3 linked regions of the Saccharomyces cerevisiae S288C genome follow. The gene in region 3 interacts genetically with the main gene of each other region. Each region holds a gene or a part of one and is shown on either strand. Other genes may lie near its edges. The genes, in order: CDC14, CDC6 and ORC6.

The links.
Region 1: of ORC6 (region 3) and CDC14, extra expression of one is lethal in a mutant of the other (dosage lethality), as found in Saccharomyces cerevisiae (3 studies listed by BioGRID, with this or other methods).
Region 2: mutations in ORC6 (region 3) and CDC6 impair growth when combined (synthetic growth defect), as found in Saccharomyces cerevisiae (5 studies listed by BioGRID, with this or other methods).

The regions. Positions count from the first base shown.
Region 1 is NC_001138.5:208,288-211,887, reverse strand, and holds CDC14 (phosphoprotein phosphatase CDC14), read left to right. Parts: upstream 1-1,819; coding exon 1,820-3,475; downstream 3,476-3,600. Other genes in the region: PTR3 (Ptr3p), read right to left, coding at 1-951; ECO1 (Eco1p), read right to left, coding at 3,591-3,600. UniProt on the Saccharomyces cerevisiae protein: Protein phosphatase which antagonizes mitotic cyclin-dependent kinase CDC28, the inactivation of which is essential for exit from mitosis. To access its substrates, is released from nucleolar sequestration during mitosis.
Region 2 is NC_001142.9:67,410-71,246, forward strand, and holds CDC6 (AAA family ATPase CDC6), read left to right. Parts: upstream 1-1,928; coding exon 1,929-3,470; downstream 3,471-3,837. Other genes in the region: putative ubiquitin-specific protease UBP12, read left to right, coding at 1-160; fatty acid elongase ELO1, read right to left, coding at 441-1,373. UniProt on the Saccharomyces cerevisiae protein: Plays a crucial role in forming the pre-replicative complexes.
Region 3 is NC_001140.6:343,596-347,152, reverse strand, and holds ORC6 (origin recognition complex subunit 6), read left to right. Parts: upstream 1-1,524; coding exon 1,525-2,832; downstream 2,833-3,557. Other genes in the region: histone methyltransferase SET1, read right to left, coding at 1-1,110; protein channel TOM71, read right to left, coding at 2,885-3,557.

The sequences.
Region 1 (3,600 bases), on a different chromosome or scaffold from region 3:
CCACTTGTGTTCAGTAATTAGAGCAAATTTGGTGCAATCGGGAGAAATGCTTTGGTTGATGAATAATTTGGATTTCGTCCCTAGGAATTTGGGGTGTGTGTTGAACTGAAATTTTTTTCTGTACATGGGGAAACAGTTGGCAAAAAAGTACTCCTTTTCTTCGTCCAGATCATGTGCACTATTTGTTTGGTAGTTTGCTGTGGAAGGTATTGTAACGTCCGTAGACATCAAAGAGAAGTTGTTATCTATCGGCACAGTTCTTGTGTTCGAGGCATTATCCAGGATTTTCCAGTTCGCGTGGTCGTCATAGTTGGGCTCGAGTAAGCTGCTTGAGTAATTCTCCTTAGTGGTGTGTTCTTCTTGATCACGGGTGGTGCCAGTCGTGAGTGGGTGGTCCGACCCTACCTCTGTATTCGCATTATGCATCTTCGAAGCCACAATATGGAAGAGTTCGAGCAGTGATGATTTCTCCTTAACTGTAGGGTCTGATAGTGTCTTGTTATCAGCTTCTAGCCCAGCAGTGGAGGAAGAGCGCGATGGCGTTAGCGATAGTGATGATGATGATGGTGAAGTCTTTACTATAGCGGGGAGCTCATCGCTTTCGCTTTCGCCCTGTCCGGTAGTACTTCTGAAGAAGTCAATCTGACGAGCCAAATCTCGCAGCGGCTTGATGGCTGAAAGTAGTCGAACATTTTCTCGCTGACAGATGGGACACGCAGTTTGCTTGTTCGAAGTTTCCCTGCATAAATCATTGAATAGCGATTCAGATATACAGCAGCCACACGTAAGCACAGAGCAGTCTTTGACTATACCGTATTGCACATGTGATTCGTCAGTACCAGTTGCACCATCGAGTGATAGCCGTTGCGGTAGATAGAGGTCGTGTTCTATATCGTCGAGCACCCTCGCTATATCCGTCTGGCGGCCCCACTTTTGTCTATGAGAGTGCATGAACGCCTATCAGTTGTGTATTTCGTACCTATGTATGTGTGAGTGTGCGTGTGCTAAATTTTACGGGTATCTTTTCAGTGCTGATAAGGTAATCATTGATGACTACTGTAATGGTAATGTTAATAAGACGAATAACTCCTCCGCTTGAAAAAGGTGTGAAAATCAAAAGTGCGCCTCATGAAATAATGATAAAGGAATCTTTATATAGCAAAGTAATCAACAAAAACGACTCTCGGTAGCCAAGTTGGTTTAAGGCGCAAGACTGTAATTTACCACTACGAAATCTTGAGATCGGGCGTTCGACTCGCCCCCGGGAGATATTTTTTTCTGAAATTTTTTTGGCTTTATTTTTTCATTAATACACCTGTGTTAGTTATGATTGCCACTAGCTTATATACGTGACTTCTGTGACTTCTGTGACTACTGATGTGTTTTTAGTAGAATACAACTGTTTTTTTCTGTAATGCGTTTTCACATATTGGCACCAGAAAGTGTCGTTACTTTATAAAGCAAGCGACTAGAACAACAATCACACACACACACACACACACACACACACACACACACACACACACACACACACACACACACAAGCTATGAGCCTGATAACGTGAGTCATTCGTTTTTTAGCCGATAGTAGAGATATGCATTTGAAGGCCATTGCTATTGTGTCAATCAAGAAAGCTGTATCACTTTCAACGGGGAATGTACTTTTAGCACCATAAGTTTTTCTTCACTTGGTTCAAAGGTAAACAAATTGAAATTGAAACAATAATGTACCAAATATTTCCGATTCGTTCGAGGTATAATACGAAACAATTGCACAGAGGCTGGGACTACAAAGTACGCTTATAAAAAAAAAAAAAAAATGCGTAGGAGTGTATACCTCGACAACACGATCGAGTTCCTGCGAGGCAGAGTATATCTCGGTGCATATGATTACACGCCGGAAGATACTGATGAGCTGGTGTTTTTTACCGTGGAGGACGCAATCTTTTACAACAGTTTCCATTTGGATTTCGGTCCCATGAACATTGGACATCTATATCGTTTTGCCGTTATTTTCCATGAAATCTTGAATGACCCAGAAAATGCCAATAAAGCCGTTGTTTTCTATTCATCTGCATCGACCAGACAACGTGCTAACGCCGCATGTATGCTTTGCTGTTATATGATCCTCGTTCAGGCATGGACTCCGCATCAAGTGCTTCAGCCGTTGGCGCAAGTAGACCCTCCCTTCATGCCATTTAGAGATGCCGGTTATTCTAATGCGGATTTCGAAATCACAATTCAAGATGTGGTTTATGGCGTTTGGAGGGCTAAGGAAAAAGGCCTTATTGATTTGCATTCCTTCAATTTGGAGAGTTACGAGAAATACGAACACGTGGAGTTTGGAGACTTCAATGTACTCACCCCAGATTTTATTGCATTTGCGTCACCACAAGAGGACCATCCAAAGGGCTATCTCGCTACCAAATCTTCACATTTGAACCAGCCGTTTAAGTCAGTTCTGAATTTTTTCGCCAACAATAACGTCCAATTAGTGGTAAGGTTGAATTCTCATTTATATAATAAAAAGCATTTTGAAGACATTGGCATTCAACATTTGGATCTAATTTTCGAAGATGGTACATGTCCTGATCTTTCCATTGTAAAAAACTTTGTTGGTGCTGCTGAAACGATAATTAAAAGGGGAGGTAAAATTGCTGTGCACTGTAAGGCTGGGCTAGGTAGAACTGGTTGTTTAATTGGTGCTCACTTAATATACACGTATGGATTTACCGCTAACGAGTGTATTGGCTTCTTAAGGTTTATAAGGCCGGGAATGGTCGTTGGCCCTCAACAGCATTGGTTATATTTACACCAGAATGATTTTAGAGAATGGAAGTACACAACCAGAATTTCTTTGAAGCCTAGTGAGGCCATTGGCGGCTTATATCCCTTAATAAGTTTAGAAGAATACCGCTTACAAAAAAAGAAACTTAAAGACGACAAGAGGGTTGCGCAAAATAACATTGAAGGTGAATTAAGAGATTTAACCATGACGCCGCCATCCAACGGTCATGGGGCGCTTAGTGCCAGAAATTCGAGCCAACCTTCTACGGCGAATAATGGAAGTAATTCATTCAAGAGCTCAGCCGTCCCACAGACTTCGCCTGGTCAGCCGAGAAAGGGCCAAAACGGTTCTAATACTATAGAAGATATCAACAATAATCGTAATCCAACTTCCCATGCGAATAGGAAGGTAGTAATAGAAAGCAACAACTCAGATGACGAATCCATGCAGGATACCAACGGCACAAGTAATCATTATCCCAAAGTTTCGCGCAAGAAAAATGATATCTCCTCTGCTTCATCGTCCCGAATGGAAGATAACGAACCCAGCGCAACGAACATCAATAATGCCGCAGATGATACCATACTAAGACAACTATTGCCCAAGAATAGGAGAGTAACGTCAGGGAGAAGGACTACAAGCGCCGCCGGTGGTATAAGAAAAATAAGTGGCTCCATCAAGAAATAATTTATTTCATTTTTATATATATATATATCATATAATAAAAAAACTTACTAATAATAACCTTGAAAAGTTTTATGCCATTTTTCCAGTGTCCCTTCTCGCTGTCTTTTCGAAAGAGTCATATGTAT
Region 2 (3,837 bases), on a different chromosome or scaffold from region 3:
AAATTCAGGTAGGAGAAAGTTAAGATTGTTGAAAAAAGTCTACAAGAATAATTCAGGCTTGGGTTCATCGAGTACGTCTGAAATATCTGAGGGATGCCCAGAAAACGAAGTCGCTGATTTGAATTTAAAAAATGGTGTGACACTAGAATCGCCAGAATAATGACATGAGTTTATATGATAGATAAAATTAATAAATTTCCACATGTATAATACTTTTCAATCTTTTTCGCCTACTATTTACTGCCTAGGCTAATAAATTATATGTTTTTGTCCTGGGCGCGACATTCCAAAAAAAAAATAAAAAAGAAGAGAAAATACTGGCTTATGAATACAAAAATTACATAAACGAAGCAAAATGATTATTTCGAATAAAACAGTCTATATATAAGTCAAATACAAGATAGGAAGAAAAACAGAAAAAAACAAAACAGAAGGACTGGTTAATTGTTTTTGTTGATCTTCTTCTTACCACTAGCACTTCCACGTTTGTAAACCTCAATATAGAAAGAGATGAACAAAAACAAGTAGGATGTAAGAATGGCTGCACCAGCAGCAATAGCCGTCATTGAACCTAAGCAATCCTCACACTGTGGAGTACAAGCATTTTTGAAATATGCAGCAACAATCTTCTGATAAAGCACGTAATAAACGACAATGAGATCAAGCATGAACTGCACAATTTGTAGTCTTGTAACCCAGGCTTTCCACCAAACACGAATTCCGCTAGCAGAAAGGAAATAATACCAATACATAAGAACGTGAACAGCTAAGTTTAAGGTGACAGGAACCCATGTAACTGCTGTGTAACCAACCAATTGATTATAGCACAGTAAAGCTGTAGCACCATGATGGTATGTATGTAGGAAAGTCAACTTTCTATGTTTCAACACCATCAAGACAGTGTCTGCGAACTCCACAAACTTTGTCATATAGTTGAGATAATATAATGTCTCCATCGGTTGCGTCCACGATTCAACATTACAAACAGCAAAATACAGCCCATGGCGATACACTATGGGTAGCATCTGTTCCACCATCAAAATCAACCATAAAAAGGAAACAGAAGTCAACATCAAGTTATGGACTTGAGAAATAAATCTCAACTTGAGAGGTTTACATGACTTTACCAGGGACCTCCCGCCAAATATAACCACATAATACATGGCAATAAAAAGCAGTACCGGACGAGGTTCACTCAAAGGCTGCTTCCCAACGGTAAACTCAAAATCCTTTGGCTGGAAGCGACCTGCAGTGGCCCACCCAACCGCACGATTGAAATAGTCCCACAAATAAATATTAAAAAAAGGCCTATCTATTGTTGGGCGAAACCTAGAGGCTTTCTCGAGGCAAAAATTTTTCCAATCACTTACCATACTTGCTTGCAAATTTAGCTCTCAAGTTCCTTAAAATTGATAAGGTATCCTACCTTAATATTCATATCAGTTAGTCTTATATACTTCTACCTCTTTTTCTGGCTTCCTTTCTTTCCCTTATGTCCTTCGGTTTACTAATCCGTAAAGCCGACGCGGGTAAGCCAAGACCCTGAGTTTAGAACTAATATTTCGTCACGTCACGTAAGTGCAAGGTAATAAAAGCAGCAGAAATATCTGTAGTTTCAACAAAATATGTCTGGCTTGCGATTTGTTGTGTTTTGAAACTAGTTGCTAGTCTGCATTCCTTTGTTTTCCCTGAATTACCCAAAGAAGAAAGCGACGCGAGGCCTCACGCGTCGGAGTTTCCAGATCAGGAAATTACCCACTTAGGAAATTGAGTTGGCTGGCAGAAAAGATATAACGCCATCTTGAAAAATAGTATTAGTTAGTCTATTTTTTCATTTATATAGTAGAGGTATATTCTCTGGAAGAACAATTTTGGAATATTCAGAACACTGCGCTGCACTATTTTCATCAATAGTACCATATACGTTCATGTCAGCTATACCAATAACTCCAACTAAGCGTATCAGAAGAAATCTATTTGACGATGCTCCAGCAACGCCTCCACGACCTTTGAAAAGAAAAAAGTTGCAGTTCACAGATGTTACACCAGAATCATCCCCAGAAAAACTGCAGTTTGGCTCACAGTCTATTTTTTTGAGGACAAAGGCACTTTTGCAGAAGTCATCTGAGCTAGTCAACTTGAATAGCAGCGATGGTGCATTGCCAGCAAGAACAGCAGAGTACGAACAAGTTATGAATTTTTTGGCGAAGGCAATTTCTGAACACAGGTCCGATTCACTGTACATCACGGGTCCGCCTGGCACTGGCAAGACTGCCCAGCTTGATATGATTATAAGACAGAAGTTCCAGTCCCTCCCATTGTCGCTCTCCACGCCACGCTCGAAGGACGTGCTGAGACATACGAATCCGAACTTGCAGAATTTGTCCTGGTTTGAATTGCCCGATGGAAGGCTAGAATCCGTGGCGGTAACCAGTATTAATTGTATATCGTTGGGAGAGCCGTCCTCCATTTTCCAGAAGATTTTCGATTCCTTCCAAGATCTGAATGGCCCAACATTGCAAATAAAAAACATGCAGCATCTACAGAAGTTCTTAGAGCCTTATCATAAGAAAACTACGTTTGTGGTTGTGTTGGACGAGATGGACAGGCTATTGCATGCTAACACGAGCGAGACACAATCAGTTAGAACTATTCTTGAATTATTCCTTTTGGCGAAATTGCCTACTGTGAGTTTTGTGTTAATCGGTATGGCTAATAGTCTAGATATGAAAGATAGGTTTCTTTCCAGGTTAAATTTGGACAGAGGGTTGTTACCGCAAACTATAGTTTTTCAGCCATACACTGCTGAGCAAATGTATGAAATCGTCATTCAAAAAATGAGTAGTCTGCCCACTATTATCTTCCAACCGATGGCCATCAAATTCGCAGCAAAGAAGTGTGCTGGAAATACGGGTGACCTTCGAAAACTTTTTGATGTCTTAAGGGGAAGTATCGAAATCTATGAGTTAGAAAAGCGGTTTCTGCTTTCACCAACAAGAGGATCATTGAACTCTGCGCAAGTTCCTTTGACGCCAACTACTTCTCCGGTAAAGAAATCGTATCCAGAACCACAAGGTAAAATAGGCTTGAACTACATAGCCAAGGTCTTCTCAAAATTCGTGAACAATAATTCTACGAGAACGAGGATAGCCAAACTAAACATCCAGCAAAAATTAATTCTTTGCACCATAATTCAATCACTGAAGCTAAATTCCGATGCTACAATCGACGAATCGTTTGATCATTATATCAAAGCGATAACAAAAACTGATACTTTAGCACCATTGCAGAGAAATGAATTTTTGGAAATCTGTACAATTTTAGAAACTTGTGGGCTGGTTTCAATCAAAAAGACAAAGTGTAAAGGGAAAACCAAGAGATTTGTTGATAAGATTGATGTTGATCTCGACATGCGAGAATTTTATGATGAGATGACCAAAATTTCAATTTTGAAACCTTTCCTTCACTAGTCAGCTAATAGATTTATTTTTTCTTTTTTTTTTACAGTTCCACTTGCATCCCTCATTTTTCACATTCCTTTTTTTATAGAAAAGCATATCACTATATAAAAATTCTATTATAGTTGTAACAGCATAGCATATTATAGACTTTTTTTTTCTGGAAACGGTTAAACCGTTTGGCTGAGATGCAATGATATACGCAACATTGCATTCAAAGAAATTGCAAAAAAGACACAATAAAACGTAATTTGTACAAATATTTTACTATCATTAGCTACTGGATGCAGAATGGATGATTGTTAGGGGGAGGTGGGGTACAATTGTTTGTTTTTGATACATTTTCTCTTTCAAATCGCAACCAATTCACTCTGCTAAT
Region 3 (3,557 bases):
CTCTTTAGCCTTCTTCAGGTTCTCTTGTAACTTCTGTAGCTTTTTGACATTTATTTCAACAAATTTAGAAATGATATTATTCAAAATGGAATGCTTGTTTAAAATCACTTCGAACTTGAAGCCCATGATAAAGCAACCCGAAGATTCGTGCTTTCTAACGGCACTAAAGGCTGCTTTTGCTGCATCATTAATTTTTCCATCAGAACTGGCATACTTTATAAGATAAACATGCAAAGGTAAAGCGCTATTAGGATCATTAAATGCTTCAAAATGAGAAATTTCTCCATACTTTTTAAAATAGTTTTTTATTGATATGTCTTGGATATTGGTTGTTGTTGAATCTTGCGCTGGATAGACAACTATTTCACATGAAGGGGGAGGCCCTAAGGAGTACCTGTCATAAGATATGCGAGGCAATAGAATTAGTGAGTTCCTGCATTTTCTGTGGGTTGCCACTTTTCCGCTAGTCATGATACCGTTTTCATTACGTGGGTCGGATGCTTTTATCTCCGGATGTCTGTGTTTTATTTTGAACTTAAACTGTCCATCTTGTAACTCTTTGACTACGTAATAACCTGTTTCAGAAAATTCTTTATCTGTAGCCTTCCACGAAAGCATCTTATCCTTATTGAAGAACTCGCCTTTTATGGGATCAAAATAATGAAACTTAGACTTCAAATTATCTGTGTTGTATCTCAAAACTGAAGGTGGTCTTTGTTGCAAAAGCAGAGCAGATTCTGTGGGAAGAGATCCACTCGAAGACGCTAATGTATTGTGAACATTGCTATTTGAATACCGTGATTGAGACATGCCCCTCCGACTACTGATGTCAGATTTCTTATTTACATATGGGCCGCTTTGGCTGTTGTTAGTAGCATAGTACTGTCGCGTACTTGCATTGTTTGAACTATGTGGGCGATCGTCATTATAGCGTCGCCTTGTACCATCATTATGGTTATAACGTCGACGTTGATTATATTGACTAGAATATTGTTGGTGAGAATGGCCGTTTGAATACTGATAGTGACCAGAACGCGAATATTGAGGCTGTTCCTGGGGTTGTCTGTATGAACCAGAAGACGCGTGTGCTCTTCTATAGTAATTTGACATTCTCTAAACGCAGAGACCTCTTATAAAGATTCAACAAATAAGGAATGTTACCTATGCTAGTCGCAACTCTCTCGTAAGTTGAGGGTTGCTAACAGAAAAACGATGAGAAGAAACTTTTGAAAAATATTGTGTGAAAGCAGCACGAAACAGAGTATGAAAAAAGAATGCGGGCGTCCGTAAAGAGCTAGAATCGCAAGTGTCCAGAATATGCAAGGCTTTCGAATACACTCCTCACGCTTCTCTTCAGCAAAAATCAACTCTTTGTGATAAAACTGTGTATTTCTTTGTTCTTTGCCGTTGTTTACGTTAGTAAGAAATCGGCATTGAAAAAAAAAATCTCACACTAAAATTGCAGAAAAAAGTGTACAATATCAGTAAATAAAATTGGCCAAAACAATACCATTAAAACCAGTCATGTCCATGCAACAAGTCCAACATTGTGTCGCAGAAGTACTTCGACTAGATCCACAAGAAAAACCGGACTGGTCGAGCGGATATTTGAAGAAGTTGACTAATGCGACATCGATTTTATATAATACTTCACTGAACAAGGTAATGCTGAAACAAGATGAAGAGGTTGCTAGATGTCACATATGTGCATACATAGCGTCACAGAAAATGAATGAAAAACACATGCCTGACCTTTGCTATTATATAGACAGTATTCCCTTGGAGCCGAAAAAAGCCAAGCATTTAATGAACCTTTTCAGACAAAGTTTATCTAATTCTTCACCTATGAAACAATTTGCTTGGACACCGAGCCCCAAAAAGAACAAACGCAGTCCAGTAAAGAACGGTGGGAGGTTTACTTCTTCTGATCCGAAAGAGTTGAGGAATCAACTGTTTGGTACACCAACTAAAGTTAGGAAAAGCCAAAATAATGATTCGTTCGTAATACCAGAACTACCCCCCATGCAAACCAATGAATCGCCGTCTATTACTAGGAGAAAGTTAGCATTTGAAGAGGATGAGGATGAGGATGAAGAGGAACCAGGAAACGACGGTTTGTCTTTAAAAAGCCATAGTAATAAGAGCATTACTGGAACCAGAAATGTAGATTCTGATGAGTATGAAAACCATGAAAGTGACCCTACAAGTGAGGAAGAGCCATTAGGTGTGCAAGAAAGCAGAAGCGGGAGAACGAAACAAAATAAGGCAGTTGGAAAACCGCAATCAGAATTGAAGACGGCAAAAGCCCTGAGGAAAAGGGGCAGAATACCAAATTCTTTGTTAGTAAAGAAGTATTGCAAAATGACTACTGAAGAAATAATACGGCTTTGCAACGATTTTGAATTACCAAGAGAAGTAGCATATAAAATTGTGGATGAGTACAACATAAACGCGTCAAGATTGGTTTGCCCATGGCAATTAGTGTGTGGGTTAGTATTAAATTGTACATTCATTGTATTTAATGAAAGAAGACGCAAGGATCCAAGAATTGACCATTTTATAGTCAGTAAGATGTGCAGCTTGATGTTGACGTCAAAAGTGGATGATGTTATTGAATGTGTAAAATTAGTGAAGGAATTAATTATCGGTGAAAAATGGTTCAGAGATTTGCAAATTAGGTATGATGATTTTGATGGCATCAGATACGATGAAATTATATTTAGGAAACTGGGATCGATGTTACAAACCACCAATATTTTGGTCACAGACGACCAGTACAATATTTGGAAGAAAAGAATTGAAATGGATTTGGCATTAACAGAACCTTTATAACATATCCAGTATTAACTAAAAGTATATATTTGACCAATACCTGACATATCTTCTAAAGCATGCCTTTAGCCCTATAACGAGCTAATGTTAGCTCCATCTTTGCACTTATGATTGGATCAGCCCTCAAACGCTTTTGTATCTTTGCAGCTTCCGCGAAGGTAGTAGCTTGAAGTTTTTCATCCATAGTTCTTGCTAAAATTGCAGAATCTTCAAACAATTCTATGGCCTCGTCAATTTTTTCCATTTGTAATTTTAGTTGTGCTAACCCGATCTTCGCTTGTTCAGATCGTGGATCTAATTCACAGGCTTTTGTCAGCAGCTTAATGGCTGCGTTGAATTTCTCTTCATCCAACTGGGTTGGATCTTGAGAGGATTGTCTAGCTAATATAGTTGCTTTCCCAATCAAGGGTCCTATACCCACATGTATTTTTTCTTGCACTTCTTCCAACCTTTTAGCAATATCATATTGTTTAATTGCAGTATCAAAATCGCCCCTATCTGTCAAGATTTCAGCGAAAAAGGTGGGCACCTCAGGTAAGGTAGGAAACTTCAACTTTGTTTCATTGAAAAAAGCTTCAGATTCGGTAAATTTACCTTGCTTGTACAACAAACAGGCTAATTGAATGTAGGGATAAACATTTTCAGGGTTCAAGCTTTGGGCCTTTTGGAAATCTTCCTTGGCATTTTTATAATCTTGTAGAATAAAATACATCTGCCCACGGTGG